5 linked regions of the Macaca mulatta genome follow. The protein of the gene in region 1 purifies or fractionates together with the protein of each later gene. This does not show direct contact. Links are inferred from orthologs where the notes say so. Each region holds a gene or a part of one and is shown in the gene's direction. Other genes may lie near its edges.

What was found.
Region 2: the proteins of OTUB1 (region 1) and FOXM1 purify together in Homo sapiens (affinity purification with western blotting; 4 studies listed by BioGRID, with this or other methods). This does not show direct contact. The link is inferred for Macaca mulatta from reciprocal best matches to the Homo sapiens genes OTUB1 and FOXM1.
Region 3: the proteins of OTUB1 (region 1) and SLC7A11 purify together in Homo sapiens (affinity purification with western blotting; 5 studies listed by BioGRID, with this or other methods). This does not show direct contact. The link is inferred for Macaca mulatta from reciprocal best matches to the Homo sapiens genes OTUB1 and SLC7A11.
Region 4: the proteins of OTUB1 (region 1) and UBE2E3 purify together in Homo sapiens (affinity purification with mass spectrometry; 3 studies listed by BioGRID and IntAct, counting the BioPlex papers as one, with this or other methods). This does not show direct contact. The link is inferred for Macaca mulatta from reciprocal best matches to the Homo sapiens genes OTUB1 and UBE2E3.
Region 5: the proteins of OTUB1 (region 1) and UBE2E1 purify together in Homo sapiens (affinity purification with mass spectrometry; 4 studies listed by BioGRID and IntAct, with this or other methods). This does not show direct contact. The link is inferred for Macaca mulatta from reciprocal best matches to the Homo sapiens genes OTUB1 and UBE2E1.

Annotation. Positions count from the first base shown.
Region 1 is NC_133419.1:10,420,511-10,424,770, reverse strand, and holds the start of OTUB1 (ubiquitin thioesterase OTUB1), read left to right. Parts: upstream 1-1,454; 5' UTR 1,455-1,473; coding exon 1,474-1,636; intron 1,637-3,152; coding exon 3,153-3,214; intron 3,215-3,467; coding exon 3,468-3,566; intron 3,567-3,976; exon of another isoform or gene 3,977-4,147; intron 4,148-4,260. UniProt on the Homo sapiens protein: Hydrolase that can specifically remove 'Lys-48'-linked conjugated ubiquitin from proteins and plays an important regulatory role at the level of protein turnover by preventing degradation.
Region 2 is NC_133416.1:3,761,682-3,765,194, reverse strand, and holds part of FOXM1 (forkhead box protein M1), read left to right. Parts: intron 1-328; coding exon 329-520; intron 521-2,385; coding exon 2,386-2,514; intron 2,515-3,474; coding exon 3,475-3,513. UniProt on the Homo sapiens protein: Transcription factor regulating the expression of cell cycle genes essential for DNA replication and mitosis. Plays a role in the control of cell proliferation. Also plays a role in DNA break repair, participating in the DNA damage checkpoint response.
Region 3 is NC_133410.1:147,102,731-147,106,978, reverse strand, and holds the start of SLC7A11 (cystine/glutamate transporter), read left to right. Parts: upstream 1-1,438; 5' UTR 1,439-1,700; coding exon 1,701-1,977; intron 1,978-4,248. UniProt on the Homo sapiens protein: Heterodimer with SLC3A2, that functions as an antiporter by mediating the exchange of extracellular anionic L-cystine and intracellular L-glutamate across the cellular plasma membrane.
Region 4 is NC_133417.1:85,866,749-85,870,739, forward strand, and holds the start of UBE2E3 (ubiquitin-conjugating enzyme E2 E3), read left to right. Parts: upstream 1-1,469; intron 1,470-1,899; coding exon of another isoform or gene 1,900-1,942; intron 1,943-2,099; 5' UTR 2,100-2,124; coding exon 2,125-2,318; intron 2,319-3,991. Other genes in the region: uncharacterized protein LOC144333280, read right to left, coding at 148-1,379, 1,900-1,942. UniProt on the Homo sapiens protein: Accepts ubiquitin from the E1 complex and catalyzes its covalent attachment to other proteins. In vitro catalyzes 'Lys-11'- and 'Lys-48'-, as well as 'Lys-63'-linked polyubiquitination.
Region 5 is NC_133407.1:24,593,380-24,596,647, reverse strand, and holds the end of UBE2E1 (ubiquitin-conjugating enzyme E2 E1), read left to right. Parts: intron 1-546; coding exon 547-694; coding exon of another isoform or gene 695-813; exon of another isoform or gene 814-1,341; intron 1,342-1,974; coding exon 1,975-2,072; 3' UTR 2,073-2,768; downstream 2,769-3,268. UniProt on the Homo sapiens protein: Accepts ubiquitin from the E1 complex and catalyzes its covalent attachment to other proteins. Catalyzes the covalent attachment of ISG15 to other proteins. Mediates the selective degradation of short-lived and abnormal proteins.

The DNA of each region.
Region 1 (4,260 bases):
CAACTCCTGGGCTCAAGCAATTCTCCCAACTTGGCCTCCCAAAATGCTGGGATTACAGGCATAACCCACCAGACCCAGCCATCTTTGCCATTTGAGAAATTAAACGTGGCTGGGCGTGGTGGCTCATGCCTGTAATCCCAAAACTTTGGGAGACCAAGGTGGGCGGATTGCGAGGTCAGGAGATTGAGACCAGCCTGGCCAACATGGTGAAACCCCGTCTCTACTAAAAATTCAAAAAATTAGCCGGGCGTGGGTCCCAGCTACTCGAGAGGCTGAGGCAGGAGAACTGCTTGAACTTGGGAGGTGGAGGTTGCAGTGAGCTGAGATCGCGCCACTGCACTAAAGCCTGGGCGACAGCAAGACTCTCTAAAAAAAAAAAAACCCAAACAAACAAACAAAAATTAAACATAATTTTTAGATAATTCACAGGGAACTTAAATTATAAAGATTCCATGTATCCTTTACTCAGTCTCCCCTGCCCCCACTAACATCTTGCAAAAATGCAGTAAAGCCTACACCAGACTACTGACACAGTCAGGGTATTGCGCATTTCCACCTTCGCAACAATCCAGACTTTCCCTTTCACAGCCACATCCACTTCCCTCCAGCACCTCTGCTTGACTCTTGGCAACCATTATTTTTCTCTTTTGTGAAGTCTTTGCTTTTATAAAAACCCTGCTTTAGTGGTGGCTCGTGGCTGGAATCTCAGCTACTCTTCAGGCAGGGCCCGAAGATCACTTGTGCCCAGGAGTTCGAGACTACCCTATGCAACATAGTGAGACCCTTTCTTTTCTTCCTTATTTCTTTCTTTTTCTTTTTTTTTTTTTAAAGGCCCTGCTTTGTCACAACCAGAAGGACACAGAGCCCAAAGTTAGGTCCGAGGCTTTGGCCTTGACACCAAGGGACGCCGTCTCCCTGCCGGAAGCAGCTCACCAAAGCCGGCAGAGAACCCAGGCTCCGCGGGGCCACTGATGTGGGGCTCCGCGGGCGCCCTGGCGTTGGCCGACTTCCTGTCTCCTGGGCCAGATGCTGCTCCGCACTGCAGCAGTGGTCGCATGCAGTGCGTGCCGAAGCCCGCAGCAGGAATGCTGCCATTGGTGATTTTAATTTCACCTTCCTACTTCTCTCAATAACACGATCCGCGTTTCAAACTCCAGGGAAAAGAAAACGGAATTGGCTCCAGGAGGCTCTGCAATCACCACCGGGAACTTTGGGAGGCTGGGAAGATGAAGCCAAACCACTGTGTGGGGTGGAGATGCGGACCCGGGGCGGCCGGCCTCTCCTACAGGTCTCAGGTCGGTGGGCCTGGCGTGCTAGCACCTGCCTCGGGAGTGGAAGCCGATTCCTTGACAACGCCTAAGGGGATCCCGTTGCTAGGGCCGTTGCCAAGGCGGGGCCACGAGGAGGGGCTCACTTCCGGGAGGAGGGCAATTGGCAACCCGGAAGCGGTCGGCAGTGCGGCGCTGTTTAAAGATGGCGGCGGAGGAACCTCAGCAGCAGAAGCAGGAGCCGCTGGGCAGCGACTCCGAAGGTACAGCTCCAAGGAGGGATGTCCGGCCCAGGCTAGTGGGGGCGATGCCGGGCCAGCTGCTCCCGAGGAGGGAGGGGAGGCAGGGCCGCCGGCCCTGGGGTCGAGGTGCGCGGGGGGTCCCTTCCTCCACCTCCGCTGCCTCCCCTCCCCCTCACAATGGAAGGAGCTACCGCAGCGACCCCCGGCCGGGAGGGAGGACGGGCGAGGCGGGCCAAGGCCGGCGGCCCTTCTCCATCGTGCGCGCCCGGGGCGGGGCCTGGGCCGCCCCGCCCTCTGCCCGGCCCCTGGGCTCCCGGCTCCAGGGGCCCCGAGCCCTCCCGCCCCGGTCCTCGCAGTCAGGCTGAGGCCTAGGCCAGGGCCGAGCCCCCCGACCTGCTCCAGCGGCGACCCGCGCCTTGAGGGCCTCAAGTTTTGCTGGGCTACAGAGCACAAACGTCCGGGCGGGCCGTTCGGGATGTCGCAGGCGGCCCTGGGATGTGAGGGGCTGCGGGATCTGTCCCTGAGGCCTGCGACTTTTTCTGGTAGAGCCGCTACTTCTGGCCTTGCAGCCCCTTTCCACCTGCCTAGGCATTGTTAGTCTCCTGAGGAGATGGGCCGTTCAAAAATGGTCCCACTGTCTTTTCCCGCCTGTGAGTTGGGCCCTGGGGACCGCGTAGGTCATTGGGTGGCAGGGACAGCTCTTTTGCAAAGCAGTACGAAAAGGGGAGGTCGACGCCCAGCCAAGAATTTGGGATGGCGAACCCCAAAAGGGTTGACCTTAAAAGTCATTCAGCACACACACCTCACTCTCACCGAACACTTGTGGGAATGAGAAGTGGGAAAACTAGGCCCCGGAAGGGACTTGTTCACGATGACATTGAGAGAGAGCCAGGACTCAAATTCAGGTGTCCTGGCCACTCACCGATAGCTGCTCACAGTGGGGTCGACAGGGTGGAGCTGCCCAGCTGACTGATAATCCTAGAGCACGTACTGGTATGCCTCTAAGAAAGGCGGGGGTACTCGCCCCATTTTACAGTTGAGGAAAGGTCTCAGCCATGTGGTAGCCAAGGATAGGTATTGTGCTGAAGAGCTCAGCCTGGAATTAGACCAACCTGGGTTTGACCACAGGTCTTTGCTAGTTGTGACCTTGGGCAGATTGCTTCACCTCTCTGCATTTATTCTGTTAATTGTAAAATGGGCACCATTAACAATATCCAGCACCGCAAGAGGATGAAGGCGGTGATGGAGTAAAGTGCAGGCTCACAGGAAGCTCTCCTCCAGCCCAGGACTCTGCCTCCTCATCCTACTTTCTGCAAGAGACCACGCCTGGCCCCAGAACATTCCTAGGCTGCTGGGAAGTGATGTTAACGGGAGGAAGGGGGTGTCAGAGCTGGAAGAGTGCACGTTAGGGGTACCACAGTGCACCTCTGCCCCTTCATTTTAAAGATGAGGAAATGAAAGCCCAGAAGGGGAAGGGACTTTGCCAAGATGACACAGTGGAGGTGGAGCAGAATGTAACACACCTGTTTCCAGATTCGAAGCCTGTCGTCCTGCCCCTGGGCTGCTGTTGTCCCTGGCCCAGCTGCCTGCAGTGGAGACGGCCAGGACCTCCTGTAATCTTTGGCTTTTTTCCTTTTCCCAGGTGTTAACTGTCTGGCCTATGATGAAGCCATCATGGCTCAGCAGGACCGAATTCAGCAAGAGGTGAGGGGCTGCAGTGGGCAAGGGAGGCAGTGGCCAGCAGCCCCATTGTGGAAATGCATAGGCTGGGCTTGAGGCCTGTTGTCTGTCTCTACTTTGGAAGCTCCCTCCTCCCTAGGCTATGCTAGGTACTGGTGCTTTTCTGGGGGTTGCTGTGTCACTGGGTGACCAGCCCAGCCCTTTTGTAGTTATTCTGACTTAGGCATGGGTCACTCCATCTCCCTGCTGGGACATGACGGATCCCTGCCTCCTCCAGATTGCTGTGCAGAACCCTCTGGTGTCAGAGCGGCTGGAGCTCTCGGTCCTATACAAGGAGTATGCTGAAGATGACAACATCTATCAACAGAAGATCAAGGTGGGAGCCTGGCCAGAGTGGGTGGGAAGCACCCTGGGGATAGGGCAGGAGGGTGCCTGCTTCAGACTTGCTTCCTGCTGGGTCTGAGGGAATGGGGTGTTGGAGGACACCTCTCGTTACTGGTTCTTTTTTTTTTTTTTGAGACGGGTCTTGCTCTGTCGCCCAGGCTGGAATGCAGTGGCATGATCTCAGCTCACTGCAAGCTCTGTCTCCAGGGTTCATGCCATTCTCCTGCCTCAGCCTCCTGAGTAGATGGGACTACAGGCACCCTCCACCACGCCCAGCTAATTTTTTGTATTTTTTAGTAGAGATGGGGTTTCACCGTGTTAACCAGGATGGTCTCGATCTCCTGACCTTGTGATCCGCCCGTCTCGGCCTCCCAAAGTGGTGGGATTACAGGTGTGAGCCACCGCGCCCGGCCTTGCTGGTTCTTGAAGTGCGCAGGCTGGGGCTTCAAAAACACATCGATTCAATGCTTGAACCCAGTAGGTGGAAGTTACAGGGAGCCAAGATCGCACCATTGCACTCCAGCCTGGGCAACAAGAGCAAAACTTCATCTCAGGAAAAAAAAAAAAAAAAAGGGGGGACCGGGCACGGTGGCTCACACCTGTAATCCCAGTGCTTGAGGAGGTGGCCGGATCCTCTGAGGTCAGGAGTTGGAGACCAGCCTGGCCGACATGGTGAAACCCCATCT
Region 2 (3,513 bases), on another chromosome or scaffold:
TGGTTTTAGTGTAACATCAATGCTTTGAGAATCAAAGTACATACTCAAACTTTCCTGAGAAATTACAACTGGAAGGGACTGGATTTTCTCCAAATTCAACAAAATGAATGATGACAAAACCAGTTTCTTATTGGCTAGGGTCTAGGCTAGATCATCTCCAAGATCCTTCCCAACTCTAAAATTGTATTCTATGAGATAGCGGTCTCAGATGAGTTTGTTTCTAGTACCATCCTATGGGATAAAGGTTTCTCTAGATATTCTTTAAGGGCTTGGGTTGGGGTAGTTCTCATGAACTCTTTTGTGTCATTCCCTTTGTCATAATCCTCAGGTTGAGGAACCTTCGAGACCATCAATGTCCTGGCAGAACTCTGTGTCTGAGCGGCCACCCTACTCTTACATGGCCATGATACAATTCGCCATCAACAGCACTGAGAGGAAGCGCATGACCTTGAAAGACATCTATACTTGGATAGAGGACCACTTTCCCTATTTTAAGCACATTGCCAAGCCAGGCTGGAAGGTAATATGTCCCAATGCAACCAAAATCAAGGTCAGTCCAGCCTGACAGACTGTCTCCAGTGCTGTGCTGCAACTTGTATCTGGGACAGCAGTTAAGTGCAAAGGATACTAGAATGATAAACGTATCTTTTGGGTTGTGACTCAATCTTATTGAATCCAGGCAAAATCATTAACAAGAGCTCTTTAACTACTTCATCTGTTACTACCTAAAGTTCACGAAGAGTCTTCCATGTAGCACTCAAGCCCACTTTTCTGCTACACTGAACAGCAGTCCTAGATGCCAGCAGCTAGAGTGGCTAAGTAGTTTTATGAAAATGTCTTGATTAAAAAAAAAGAATGCTGTGAACCTTATGACCCAAGACGTCATCTCCTATAGCATCACATACCATTTCTAGTGGGCAGGGGTTTTCCTTTCACTTCATTCATGGAAAGACCAAGATGCCTGGGAGTCAGTGTAGCTCATGCAGTTGGTCAGTGTCAGAGCCACAAATGAGGTCTTCTCACGGGTGCTCAGTTCCAAGCCAAGTGTGCTTTGTTTTCCTCATGGTAGAACTCTTTCTTTTTTTTTTTTTTTTGAGACAGAGTCTCGCTCTGTCGCCCAGGCTGGAGTGCAATGGCAGATCTCAGGTCACTGCAACCTTCACCTACAAGGTTCAAGCGATTCTCCTGCCTCAGCCTCCCAAGTAGCTGGGACTACAGGCATGCACCACCACACCTGGCTAATTTTTTTGTATTTTTAGTAGAGACGGGTTTCACCATGTTGGTCAGGCTGGTCTCGAACTCCTAACATCAAATGATCCGCCCGTCTCGGCCTCCCAAAGTGCTGGGTTACAGGCATGAGCCACTGCACCTGGCCCCTCATGGTAGAACTCTTAACTTTACTCCCTTCCATCAGCTTACTTTCCTAGTTTTTTTTTGTTTGGTTGGTTTTTTGAGACAGGGTCTCACTCTGTTGCCTGGGCTGGAATACAGCCTTAGCCCCTTGGGCTCAAGCTCTTCCCTCCTCAACCTCCCAAGTAGTTGGGATAACAGGTGCACTACCACAGTCCACTAATTTTTTTTGTTGTTGTTGTAAAGGCAGTTGCCCAGGCTGGTTATTATGTTGCCCAGGCTGGTCTGAACTCCTAGTCTCAAGCACTCCTCCTGCCTTAGCCTCTCAGTGCACTGTGATTACAGGTGTGAGCCCCCACACCCAGCCTTAATTTCCTAGTTTCCTGTTTGCTTGTTTGTTTGTTTGAGGCAGGGCCTCACTCTGTCAGGCTGGAGTGCAGTGACACGATCTTGGCTTGCTTCATTCTCTGCCTCCCAGGTTCAAGTGATTCTCCTGCCTCAGCCCCCCGACTAGTTGGGACTACAGGCATGCGCTACCATGCCTGGCTAATTTTTATATTTTTGACAGAGACAGGGTTTTGCCATGTTTGCTAGGCTGGTCTCAAACTCCTGGCCTCAAGTGATCCACTCGCCTCGGCCTCCCACAGTGCTGGGATTATAGGCGTGAGCCACCACGCCAGGCCTAATTCCCTAGTTTCTTAATTTCTCTGACCCACCTGTCTTGCTATTGATCACTGCCTCACAGCCTTACTCTGCTTTTCTAGCCCCTGACAGCTATCCAGGTCTTTTCTTTATCACAATCTAAGGTTGACATCAGTCTTTGTTCCCGTAGAATAGATGGGTTTATGGCTGAGGGTGACAGCTCTGCGGTGTGGAGTGTGAGGAGAGTTGCCGAGAGACAGGGCTACAAAGACACCAGAGGAGCCTGTGCTAAGCACAGTGGGAGGGGCCTGAGGCTGGTTTCCCCATGTGTTTGAAGGGTGATGTTTCTGAACCTAAAGTAACTGATAACCAGTTGTCTTGCTCTTCTTCCAGAACTCCATCCGCCACAACCTTTCCCTGCATGACATGTTTGTCCGGGAGACGTCTGCCAATGGCAAGGTCTCCTTCTGGACCATTCACCCCAGTGCCAACCGCTACTTGACATTGGACCAGGTGTTTAAGGTGAATGCCCTGCTTTTCTCTAAATAGGGCCTAAGTTGGAGGTCGTCATAGCCATCTCAAAAGGAAACAAGTTCTGCTAGTGATGCTTTCATTTGATCGGGGGAGAGTTAGAAGCCAGCCAATTAGTGACTTGCACAAAACCCACTGAATTAAGTACAGTTGACAAATACCAAATGACACATTTTTGTGCTAGACCAGAGCAAGGAGAGGGCTGTTCTGACCCAACAGAGAGGGCTTCCCAGGGCAGTGTTTTCCTAACTTCCCTGTGAATGGGAATTGCCTGGGACATTGTTAAAACACAGCTTCCCAGACCCCTCTCTTGGGGCTCTTGATTTAGTGCTTCTGGGATGGGCCCAGGAATTTGTATTTTTAGCAAGCATCTCAGATGATTCTTCCAAGAAATTCTGGGAATGCTTGCTCTAAAAAAAGCCCTTCCTGCCGGGTGCGGTGGCTCACGCCTGTGATCCCAGCACTTTGGGAGGCCGAGGCAGGTGGATCACCTGAGGTCGGGAGTTCGGCCTGACCAACATGGAGAAACCCCGTCTCTACTAAAAATACAAAATTAGCCGGGTGTGGTGGCGCATGCCTGTAATCCCAGCTACCTGGGAGGCTGAGGCAAGAGAATCCCTTCAACCCAGGAGGCAGACGTGGTGGAGAGCCGAAATCGTACTACTGCACTCCAGCCTGGGCAGTAAGAGTGAAACTCCGTCAAAAAAAAAAAAAAAGCCCTTCCTTAGGCTGCAGACCAGAAGCTGAGCTACTAGAACGTCTCTTTAGACAGAAGCTATTTTGGCATTTCAGAGTGCCTACAAGGCTGCAGCCATTCTCCTGGGAGGGACGGTTGTCTGGGGTGTCTTTTGTCATCGGTCAGGAATAGGTGTTTTTCCCGATCTGGTCCAATTGACCACGTTGGTGGTAACTTCATCTCCTTTCTCTCCCACAATGCCTGGCCGCCACCAGCCACTGGACCCAGGGTCTCCACAATTGCCCGAGCACTTG
Region 3 (4,248 bases), on another chromosome or scaffold:
ATAATTTAAAAAGGAGAAAATGTTGCCTCAATTATTTGGATGGCAAAGCATTGAGGTGGTGTCATTTTCTCAGGTGCCAACACAACAGAAAATGGTCTGACCTTTTCGATGCTACTTTCCTAATGGCAATTTCTTATTTCCTTCTTTGATCATCCTGACCATACTTGACTCCCTTCTTTCCCTGCCAACCTCTCGCACACAGGCTTTTTGTTTGTGGTTTTTGTTCAAAGGTTCAGAAGCATATTTAATGGTGCATATAAAGCTAGCTTCAGGGTAATGATAACATTCAATTCTTCTCACTGCATTCAAAACCACATGTAACTATAGCCAAAAATGATATCTAGGATTTCTTTTCTTTTCGTATTTATTTTTTCTTGACACTTGGTTGAGAAAGTTAGAAGGGTTTAAAAATGTTTTGCCTTTTTGACAATTACAAAGTAAATATTTTAATCTTAGCTTACATGTTTAATGCATTTTAAATTTATAATCATAATATAACAATAGTTTATATAATGTGGAAAAAGTCATACATAATATCATTACTTTCTGTAACTACTATTCTGTGTTTTCCTTTACAGTCTTTTGCTATATGCATATTTTTATGTAATTGTAATTGTGTAATTTTGAACTTAGAAAATTTTTTTGGTAATTCAAAGGAACAATATGTATCTTTTACATTAGTTAAAAAAATCACCTTGTGCTAATGAGAATCAGAAAATGACTATTTTCTGGAGTCATGGTGAATTTTATATTTGTCACACGCCGATGTGATTTAAAATGTTGGTTTATTATGAGTAGTAAGAAATAATTTTATCTTTTAATGTTGAGGAAGGCTTACAGTTGTATGTATGTGACACAGTATAAAGTGTAGAATCTTTTTAATTTTGTAAATGTTAGATTTGACTGTATTGCCTTATAAGAAACTCAAAATAAAAAATAAAAATAAGCATTACACAAATTATGAAACTCAAACTGTGTTGTTATAAAAAATGCAGCTTTAGGATACATTCTACTCACAAAACAGTCACGTGTAAAATGTTTTTATACATGCATTAAAGAAAAAGAAACTCCTTAAAATGAAGTAACTATTTCCTGTTTCATTTTGTTTGAACAGCTTTTGTTGCTCACTACGAGTTGCTTTAAATCTCTGGGAAGGTCTGTTCCGAATTTACTACTTCTGGATTGGCCAAAGTCTCTTTAAAATGTGTGCTTTGTTCTCTAAAAAGCTTAGGTCAGTTGAGCAACAAGCTCCTCCTGTTTTTTTTTTTTTTTTTGAAAAAAAAAAGAGCTGAGTAATGCTGGAGCCTTCTCATGTGGCTGATGCAAACCTGGAGAATTTGCATCATCATTTAGCTGTAGTAAGTTGGTGTGACAGGCAGGCGCTTAAATACAAGCCCATGAGGAAGCTGAGCTGGTTTGTAATGATAGGGCGGCAGCAGCAGCAGCAGCAGCGGTAGAACGAGGAGGTGGAGAACTGGGAGCACGATGCATACACAGGTGTTTCTGATTAGTAATTAGCCGCTGTGAAGGATAAAGCACACCTTTGGGTTTTTACCTGTGAACACTATAGGGCTGAGAAAGACAGTCTGAAAGCAAAGAAAGCAAAGAGGAAGACCTCGATCAGTAACACCAAGAGACACCAAAGTTGAAAGTTTTGTTTTCTTTCCCTCTGTTTTATTTTTCCCCCGTGTGCCCCTACTATGGTCAGAAAGCCTGTTGTGTCCACCATCTCCAAAGGAGGTTACCTGCAGGGAAATGTTAACAGGAGGCTGCCTTCCCTGGGCAACAAGGAGCCACCTGGGCAGGAGAAAGTGCAGCTGAAGAGGAAAGTCACTTTACTGAGGGGAATCTCCATTATCATTGGCACCATCATTGGAGCAGGAATCTTCATCTCTCCTAAGGGCGTGCTCCAGAACACAGGCAGCGTGGGCATGTCTCTGACCATCTGGACGGTGTGTGGGGTCCTGTCACTATTTGGTGAGTGCAACTTTTTCTCGGGGGGGAGGGGGCGTGGCTGTGGGACTGGAAAGCTTGCTTTCTGGGAAAGCAAATGATCATTTTTGAGGAGTGAATGGATGGCAAAGGCCACACCAAATTTTTAAAATTTTTGTTCAGGTACGTGAACTACCCAGACGCAGAATCCACTGTTGGTGTGATCTGGAACGCCCTCAAATTGTTTCCTACAGGCTGTACTTTCTTTTCCTGACTAAGACAGGCTATTTTCTGACTTTTCCCTGTGGGATGAGAGCAAAGACTAACTTTCATGACCCAGTAAAAAACATGCACACTTTCTGTGCCGGGCAGTTGTGCTTAGCTTGGGCACTCTGGCAGCTGGCATGTTGAATGAAACACCTGGCATGGCCTATTTAGACATAGAACGGAGTGTTCAGCAGAAGCCTTACTGACTTTTTATTAGCCTAACAAATGGGTGGCAGTCTTTTTAAAAATATTTTTTAAGTTCATATGCTTGTCACCTCTTAATATCCTTTCAAAAGTCCTTGGCATGAGAGAGAAATGTATGATGGCGCATAACTCAATCCCTATCATAACGGGGCATATTGCAATGGCCTGAGCAAATTTCAAATTACTTTTCAACCTTTCATCTCTTCTCAATACCCATACACTTTTGCAATATAAGTTTTAAAACTTCAGTTGGGTGTTAGTTTTCTGTGCTTGCCCAGATCTGTTTTTATCATTTATATTTCACTTGTTCTCCAGGGACACAGATAATTTGTCCACCTGTTCACTGAATTAATCCGAAGGGAACTGGTAGAAGTATAATTATGAATTTTTCTTCAAAATTTATGTCTCTTCTGTTGATTTGAGAATTAATAATAAAGAGATAAATAAATGCCCCTTATGAAATAGGCAAATTACTAGAGAGCTACCTGAGTTTGTTGTAAAGATGATAGAAACTGGTGAACTGTCAAACATTAAATTTGATTTATGCTATGAAGATTTGTTTACTCTTCTTGGGAAAGATTCTATACTTTAAAGTTGCTCTTTGTCTTAACTCTAGGACTAACACTAACAAGTACTAACACTAACTCTAGGACTAACTAACAAGTACTAACTCTTGTTCCCATGTGTACCAATCCATTCATTCTTTCCACTCAGGCCTTGTGATGTTTTAAATCATTGGTTTGACGCTCATCTAGATAACTCAAATTCCTTTTTTTTTTTTTTTTTTTTTTTTGAGATGGAGCCCCGCTCTGTTGCTGAGGCTGGAGTGCAGTGGTGTGATCTCGGCTCACTGCAGCCTCCGTCTCCCAGGTTCAAGCAATTCTCCTGCCTCAGCCTCCTGAGTAGCTGGTACTAGAGGTGTGCGCCACCACGTTTGGCAAATTTTTTGTATTTTTGTAGAGATGGGGTTTCATTGTGTTAGCCAGGTTGGTCTCAATCTCCTGACCTCATGATCCATCTGCCTCAGTCTCCCAAAGTGCTGGAATTACAGGCATGAGCAGTGACACTGCTCCTGGTCCTCAAATTCCATTTTTAGGAAGAAGTTATTTATTTATTTTAAATAAAACTTGTTAAAACAAGGTCATAGTATAGAAAGATTTATAGAGGAATTATTTGGGGTTTTTAGAAAGAGTTTGTGGTATTATTTATATGACTAACTTGTGCTTTATTAAATAGTCAGTAACAATTGTGTATCATTATTTCCCAGTATTACTTCCCATCTTTATAAAATAATCTGGAGTAATACCATTACGAGAAACTCTAATAGTACCCTTAGCCCTATTAACTTTAAAATAGCTCTGGTGTATGCACTTGTAGATGAAGAGAAACCTAATTGTTGATCATCTTAAATGACTTTGTGCACCTCAGTCTTTAAATCTTCCTACAGCACTTTATATATTCAGAATAAATCAATATCTAACCAGAAAAACCACAACCAGTTTACTGGACTTTGCATACTTATGTGCATGCAGCTTCCACTATGGGATTCAATTTTTGCACATAATAAAAGATTATTCAGATGTAATAAAATAGATCAGTATGAGTATTGAACTAGTTAAAGTGATGTTGACTTGCACTATGAAAATATGCTTATGCATAAGTATTACATATCATCTTAAGCAGAAGCTCAAGAACAATAAAAAGAGAGAAACAGCTAAGGAGACTAGCTAACATTACACTTGAGCTGGTGTTCTTTGATTAATAATTGAAGGGAGTGTGCTTTTGTATTAATCTACTTATCTTTATTTGCATTGCATTTGTCACTTAAGTTACCAGAAGCTTCTG
Region 4 (3,991 bases), on another chromosome or scaffold:
TTCAAAGCATCCGAAGGACGGTCTCTTTTGGCAGCGACAGTTGCAAGCTGTGAGCCAAAAATAAATAGAGGTTGGTCCCCTAATCAACAAATATATTCTACTCTCTTCAATGCCCAGGACCCCACCTTGTCCCTTCCTCCAGCTTACACGAGGGGCAAGTGGCAGCTCTTCTCCGCCTGCGTGCCTGGCCTCGCCAACAACACCCATTAGTCTCCCGTCTCCCGGGGCGGCGGGGGACTCCCAACCACGCGCCCAGGGCCCTTTCCCAGGTACTGGGGCCCCGGGAGCCACGACGTCCCCCACGCAGGCGAACGGGATGGAACTAGCCCTGGGGACGCGGGTAGCCCAATGGGCAGCCTCCGCCCGGAGGCGGGCCCAGGCCGGAAGCCACCCCGCGGCACAGCGGCCCCACGATACGGTGCCCGCGCCCCCGCCTTCTCTGGCACAGGCTCCGCGGCCAAGGGCGGCAGGGGCCAGCCCGCCAGGTCCCCGCCGCGCTCTTTGTCCTGGCCGCGCGCGGGCGGACGCGTGCACCCCCCGGGTGAGGGGAGGTGCGGGGAGCGCGCGCGGGAGCGCGCGGGAACAGCTCGCGCCCGCCGGGCGCCGGCGGCGCGCGCCCCTCCGCCAGGCAAGCAGCGAGCACGCGCGCCGCCGCCGCGCCCGCCCCTCCCCCCGCGTTCGCCTCGGAACTTGCTGACTGCGCGGCCGGGAGGAGCCGAGCCGGGCGGCGGCGGCGGGAGGCCACAGCGCGCGGGGGTCTCCCGCGTCCCCTCCGCCTCGCCGGGAGCTCGCGCCCTCGCCCAGCCGAGCTCCCACCCCCCCTTTTTTCCGAAGGCGCTGGGCGGCGCCACCCTCCGGCCGGAGCCCGGCACTGCACAACCCCCTCCGACTTTCAATGTTCCACACTCCCCGGCCAGAGCCTCCTCGGCTTCTTTTTTTCCCTCCCCCCCCTTCCCCCCCCCACAGCTGCCTCCATTTCCTTAAGGAAGGGTTTTTTTCTCTCTCCCTCCCCCACACCGTAGCGGCGCGCGAGCGGGCCGGGCGGGCGGCCGAGGTAAGGCGGAGGGGCCGGGGGGCCGCGTGGGGGGCGGCCGGGGCGGCGGCGGCTGCGGTGGGGGAGGGGGCGGGGGCGGGCAGCTTTGTTCGCGCCGGGCGCCCGCGCCGCCGGTGTCCGCGAGCCGCGGCGGGGCCGGCCGGGCTGCTCGCATCACTTGGCGCCCGGCGCGGCGAGCGCTGCCCGCGGCCCCCGCGCGGCCCTCCCCACAAAGGGCCGCGGAGCTGCGTGGCCGCCGCCGCCGGCCGCGGCTCGCCTCCGCGGGCGCGGAAATTTGTTGCACTTCTTGGGGCTTTGTTTGTTTGTTTGTTTTTCCTCTGGGTTTCTTATTTTTTTCGTTATTTTGGACAAAATGTCGGTCCGTGATGTAAAAATTGAGCGAGGAACCTTGGTGGCATTGGGAGCTTTGCAGAAGGTGCAGTTTGAATTCTGCTTTTCCCAGGGTGGCAGCTAGGTCTTGGCCAGATGAATCTTCGCTGCTGGCGGTGGAAACAGCTAGAGGAGCTCGTTAGTTGATTTTTAAATTTCCAAGTGTTGTGTTTAAAGCCTTTACGTGCACTGAGAAGGAATCGCCACCTTAAATAAGCATATGGGCGATTAACAGGGTGTGTTTTCCTCTCGGAAAGGGAATTTGGTAGCTTTGACCAATGTCAGTGTGTAAATATTTAGACGTTATTAGTGACTTTTAAACATTTTTTCAGCGAGATCTGTTATTTACAGTATGTCATATGTTATTAATGCTTGTTGCCTAAGTTCCTTGGCAAATCTGTTTCATGCCTTCTGAGAAAGTAGACAATTGATAGATTGTCCAAGAGATGGAAAAAAATGTGAGTGGGTTTTCTAACTTGAGTTCGGCAAATCCCTGAACGCTGGCGTTGTGTGACACATCACCTCCCTTGTAACCCTTGTTGTATGATGAAATAAGTGTGAACACTTTTGAAGCTTTTTCATTACAATACGATATTAGATGAATAGAAGAAAATGCTGTTGGTTTATTTCCTAGATTTAACATTTTCTCCCCATCCTCCCCTGTTCTCTTTAAAAGTTTTCCAAGAGATAACTTCACCAAGATGTCCAGTGATAGGCAAAGGTCCGATGATGAGAGCCCCAGCACCAGCAGTGGCAGTTCAGATGCGGACCAGCGAGACCCAGCCGCTCCAGAGCCTGAAGAACAAGAGGAAAGAAAACCTTCTGCCGCCCAGCAGAAGAAAAACACCAAACTCTCTAGCAAAACCACTGCTAAGTTATCCACTAGTGCTAAAAGGTAATGTGTAAAAGAAGGATCCAGCACACTTTGTCAGGTTGTCTTCCAGGTGGTTGGACGCTTTTGTTGGTTTTACATCAGTAGCAATAGTTCAGAAATATTTACTTCATTATCAGTTTATTTGTACTTGAATGAGTTGTCATTCTTTAGGTGGTATGTATGCAACCTTGCTAGAATTATGCTTTTAAGCAAACTTATTCTGTACTTCGGTAACTTCAGTTGAGTATCCTTGAGTAGAGATTAGACTAACATTCTGACAGATTGTTTAAGGAGTTGGCAAGGAAAATTTGGTGAACCCAAATTAGATGGTACTTTGGGGATGTTTCCTTTTATGAGTCATAATCTTCTTTAATGAAATTGACACTTCCAGAGATTAGCAGGGCCTCTCTTCATGAAACTTAATGATCAGAAATGATCATATTTGCTAGAAAATTGCAAATTCAGGCCTTTGCTATGTTTGAAAGCAGATTTAAAATCGTGCTGCAAATCTGCTTACAGTTTTACAAAACATGACTTTAAATCATGTATCACAGGTAACTTTCGTGGTTAAATTATGATTATCCCTCCCTGTGCTTGTGAGGGCAAATCAAACTGAAAAGTAGCCCTTTACAATTTGAGGTGTCACTGGTGATAGAAAACTTTCATTGTCCTTGGACCTCTTCACTCTGAAACTTGTGGATGTGCTTGACAAGTTAATACTCAACAGCAGGAGAAACATATTTAATTGGATGTAAGTGGAAGATCATTTGTTTCCTATTGATTTATATTTTCTGATAGAGAAGAAAAGATTCTGTCAATGAGACTCTGTCAGTGGTAGTAGTAGTGGAACATCCACAAACTCTAGTAATTATACATAAAATGTATAATCTCTACAGCGTTAGCCAATGTTGACATTTTGTTAATTTTTATTGATCACAACTAAAGGAAAAAATATTTCTACAAATACTGCATTCTGTGGTGATTCATAAATACTCATATTTTTCTATGGATTTTCACCTTTATTGTCTCAGTAATGATGTATTAATAACTTGAGAATATTTTTGAATGGCAGCAGTCTTTGACATAATATAAAATCCTTCTCAATTTGGTATAGTGTTGATGCAGAACATATTAGACACGTCTAAAGTTTTGAAAGCATCTTAAATTTGAATCAAATCAGAGAACTGCTTTTCTCCCCCTTAACTCAGGCCTATGTATTTTCTCTTTCTGTCAATATTTACTAAATTTAAGTGCTGTGCCTATGATCAGGGAAAACAGAAATGGGTAAATTAGAATGTCATGTAGTCTTCGAAAGTTTTTCACCAGTAAAGATATTTGTAAATTTTAAACTTTTTTTTTGACAGATAAAATATTGTCAGAACTGTTAATGTGCTGTTGCAGTAGCCTGTTAATTTTTACCTCAGTAAAAGTCACTCGAAGTCCTTGTCAAATATTCCAGTGCTTTCCCTCCTCCCTTTTTGTCTCATTTGCATATAAGCTTGAAAAGAGAATTTCTTTGGTAAAAAGTGTTTTGAAATAGATATTATATTCTTTACTGAGTACTAGTGGATGAGTATTTTTCAAATCAAGTGTAAATGACTTACTTATTTGCAGCAGCAAGTGAGAAAAAAAGCTGCAAAGTTTCTGTTAAGGGATTTGGGTTATGCCTCTGAGAACAAAGAGGAAGCAGCCAT
Region 5 (3,268 bases), on another chromosome or scaffold:
AGCAGAAGTAGACTTCAAATTTTGTTCAGCTTTTTGGGTGTAGTCATTGTTTGCTAAGTATGTTGTTTAATTATCTTTAGGTACCTATTATGTTGCACTTCAGTTTTTAAGAGAGACTTACGATTTTAAATATTTTAAAGCTTTTAAGTATTTTAAAGCTTACTTTGAGGCAGTGTAGTACTACCAGCTAGCACAAGAGGTCAGCAAACAATTACCTATTCAGACTTGGAAATGTTAATATTTAAAAGATTTAAAATTGCTAAAGATAAAATTAGGAAGTACTGAACTTACCATCAGGGGACATAACATTTTAAATGAAATTGACACAGTCCCTGAGATGGTCAGTGAACACTTTCTAATCAAATTTATTAAACAAGTCTATCTTCTTGACAGCTTTAATTAAAACTGCTTTTATTCACCTTTTTAAAAACTACCTATCTGGGAGTTTTTTTTTCTTTCTTTCTAATTAGGGTCATTCAGTTGAGTATTTAGTAAAAAGTTTGTTTGCTTTTTAACTATTGTTTGACACTTCCTTGTTTTCCTTAGGTTACATTTCGGACAAGAATCTATCATTGTAATATTAACAGTCAAGGTGTTATTTGCTTGGACATATTGAAAGATAATTGGAGTCCAGCACTAACCATTTCTAAAGTCCTCCTTTCTATCTGCTCACTTCTTACAGACTGTAATCCTGGTAAGGTTAATAATTCTTTACCTTGTTTTATTCTTCCTCACCTGAAAAGTACTTGTTTCCAAAAGCTTTCAAAGGACAAAACTAATTTTTCTGCAAAACTTTATGAATATAAAAACTAATCTGCTTTTCAAAGAAAGTTTTAATCGAGAAGTTCAGTCTACTAGTTGAGACATACAACTTCATTAATCAGTATATTCTAGCAACAAGGTATTTTAAACTGAAGACGAAGTTTGCCTTGGGCTTTTACAGTTTCAGTTATTCTTCCCTCTATTTTTTTTTCCTGTTGCTTAATTTCCCATATAGTTCTTATAAAACAAATCATACACTTCTAAATGCCAAGTCATCTGCCTGGCAAGCCTCACCTTGCCTGTGGGGTTCAGTGGGCATGTGCCCATAGCTGGTCACTGAGATGGCACTCAGTTTTGAAAATGGTATTTGTTAAATACTTAGTGACTATTGAATTGTGACTTTTTTGGGACTTCATTTCATTTAAAAAATATTTTTCTGTAGTCCCAGCTACTAGGGTGGCTGAGGTGGCAGGATTGTTTGAACCCAGAAGGTCAAGGCTGCAGTGAGCCATGAGCATGCCGCTGCACAGAACTCCAGCCTGGGTGGCAAAGTGAGACCCTGTCTCAAAAAAAAAAAAAAAAAAATGTGTGTATATATATATAAATATATATATGTGTGTCTATACACACATATATTATTTATTTTATTTTCTAGGTAAACCAAATATAAATTTAGTTATTAAAGATCCTAAGATTCAGAGAAATACTATACTTAATTGGAGGTCCAGGTTTTGCCTGGCAACCTGGCTCTTTAACCAGTGTAAAGGTAAATAGTGTTGCATTGCAACAGCCCCGAAGACTTCACAGTATTCACAATGCCATAACTGGTGACACTGAGCTAAGGGTCACATCAACACAGTTGGATGTTCATTGTAGTCTGGAGCCTTGACCGTTCCAGTCTCCACTGAACTCAGCCTAACACATAAGAGTAAAGAAACTCCAATCGGGTGTTGTTTATTGGGAGAAAAATGGAATGAACTAAGATACAGACAGACCAGTAAACTAAAGCCTGAGCATTCCCTCTTCCTCCCATGTTACGATTTTTAAATTTTTGATGGAAAAATATCCGGCATAGTGGAGTGGTGTTTCGAAGATGGGTTTGATCACACATACTTGGTTGTACATGTCTGCCCAAGCTGTCACTAATGTATTTGCTAAAGTTTAAAATGTTCTTTTCCTTTCTCCAAAGTAATCTACATTCTTTTCTTCCAGCCGACCCCTTGGTGGGAAGTATTGCCACTCAGTATATGACCAACAGAGCAGAACATGACAGAATGGCCAGACAGTGGACCAAGAGATACGCTACATAAACTGGGTTTTCACAATTCTTACATTATTTGTCACAGAAGAGAGCTGCTTATGATTCTGAAGGGGTCAGGGAGGGTGGGAGTTGGTAAAGAGTAGGGTATTTCTATAACAGATATTATTCAGTCTTATTTCCTAAGATTTTGTTGTAACTTAAGGTATCTTGCTACAGTAGACAGAATTGGTAATAGCAACTTTTAAAATTGTCATTAGTTCTGCAATATTAGCTGAAATGTAGTACAGAAAAGAATGTACATTTAGACATTTGGGTTCAGTTGCTTGTAGTCTGTAAATTTAAAACAGCTTAATTTTGTACAGGTTACACATATGGCCATTTATGTAAAGTCCCTCTAAGACTACATACTTTTTGTTTAAAACAAAATTGGAATTTGTTTTCCCTTCTTGGAAGGGAACATTGATATTTAACAGAGTTTTTAGAGACTGTCATCTCATATATATAAAATGGACACGTGGCTGTAAGACACCATATAGGAGATGAGTAATGTGTTTTATTTTATATGCCAATCTACTTTGTTTAAAAAAGGTTTAAATCAGGACTTGTGAAAACCTGTAGTGAAATACCTTAAGCTGTTAACTGTAAGGCGTGGAATAGGAGTTGCTCAGTGGATTGGTTATATGTTGTGGACTACTTAAGTCTGCATTTGTTACTGTGCTAATAAACAATATTAAAAACCGCCTAATACTGCTGTGTTCATTTACTTTTATTTTGCCTTTTGGTTGCTGTTTGCAGATTCTTCTGAAATCGATAGGTATCTGCTTCTAAAACAAGCTAAAAATAATGCATATTTAGTAGGTATTATTTACCCATATTAGGATCTGTACTTTACACAGCTGTAGATGTTGAGGTATCCTAGACAAGGTTAAATAATCTACCCCATTTAGGCTTCAAAGACGAACCCTACTGCATTTTTTTTTAAAGCGTTTTCTGACTTGCAGATGCTGTAGTAGCAAGTACATGGGAAATGGGTTCTGTCAGGGATAAACTGGTACACTGCCGTAGGGGGCATTTTGGCAGTACCTAAGTATACACATGGCATGACCCAGCAGTGCTGTTTCTGTGTGTCTTTCATTACAGAATTTAAAAAGAATTGGTAACTCTGTCTGTACTAATATAGACTAAGTTGCATTAGCAGGAAACAAACTGGAAGGTACTTATTTAAAAATCATTATGAAAGCATTT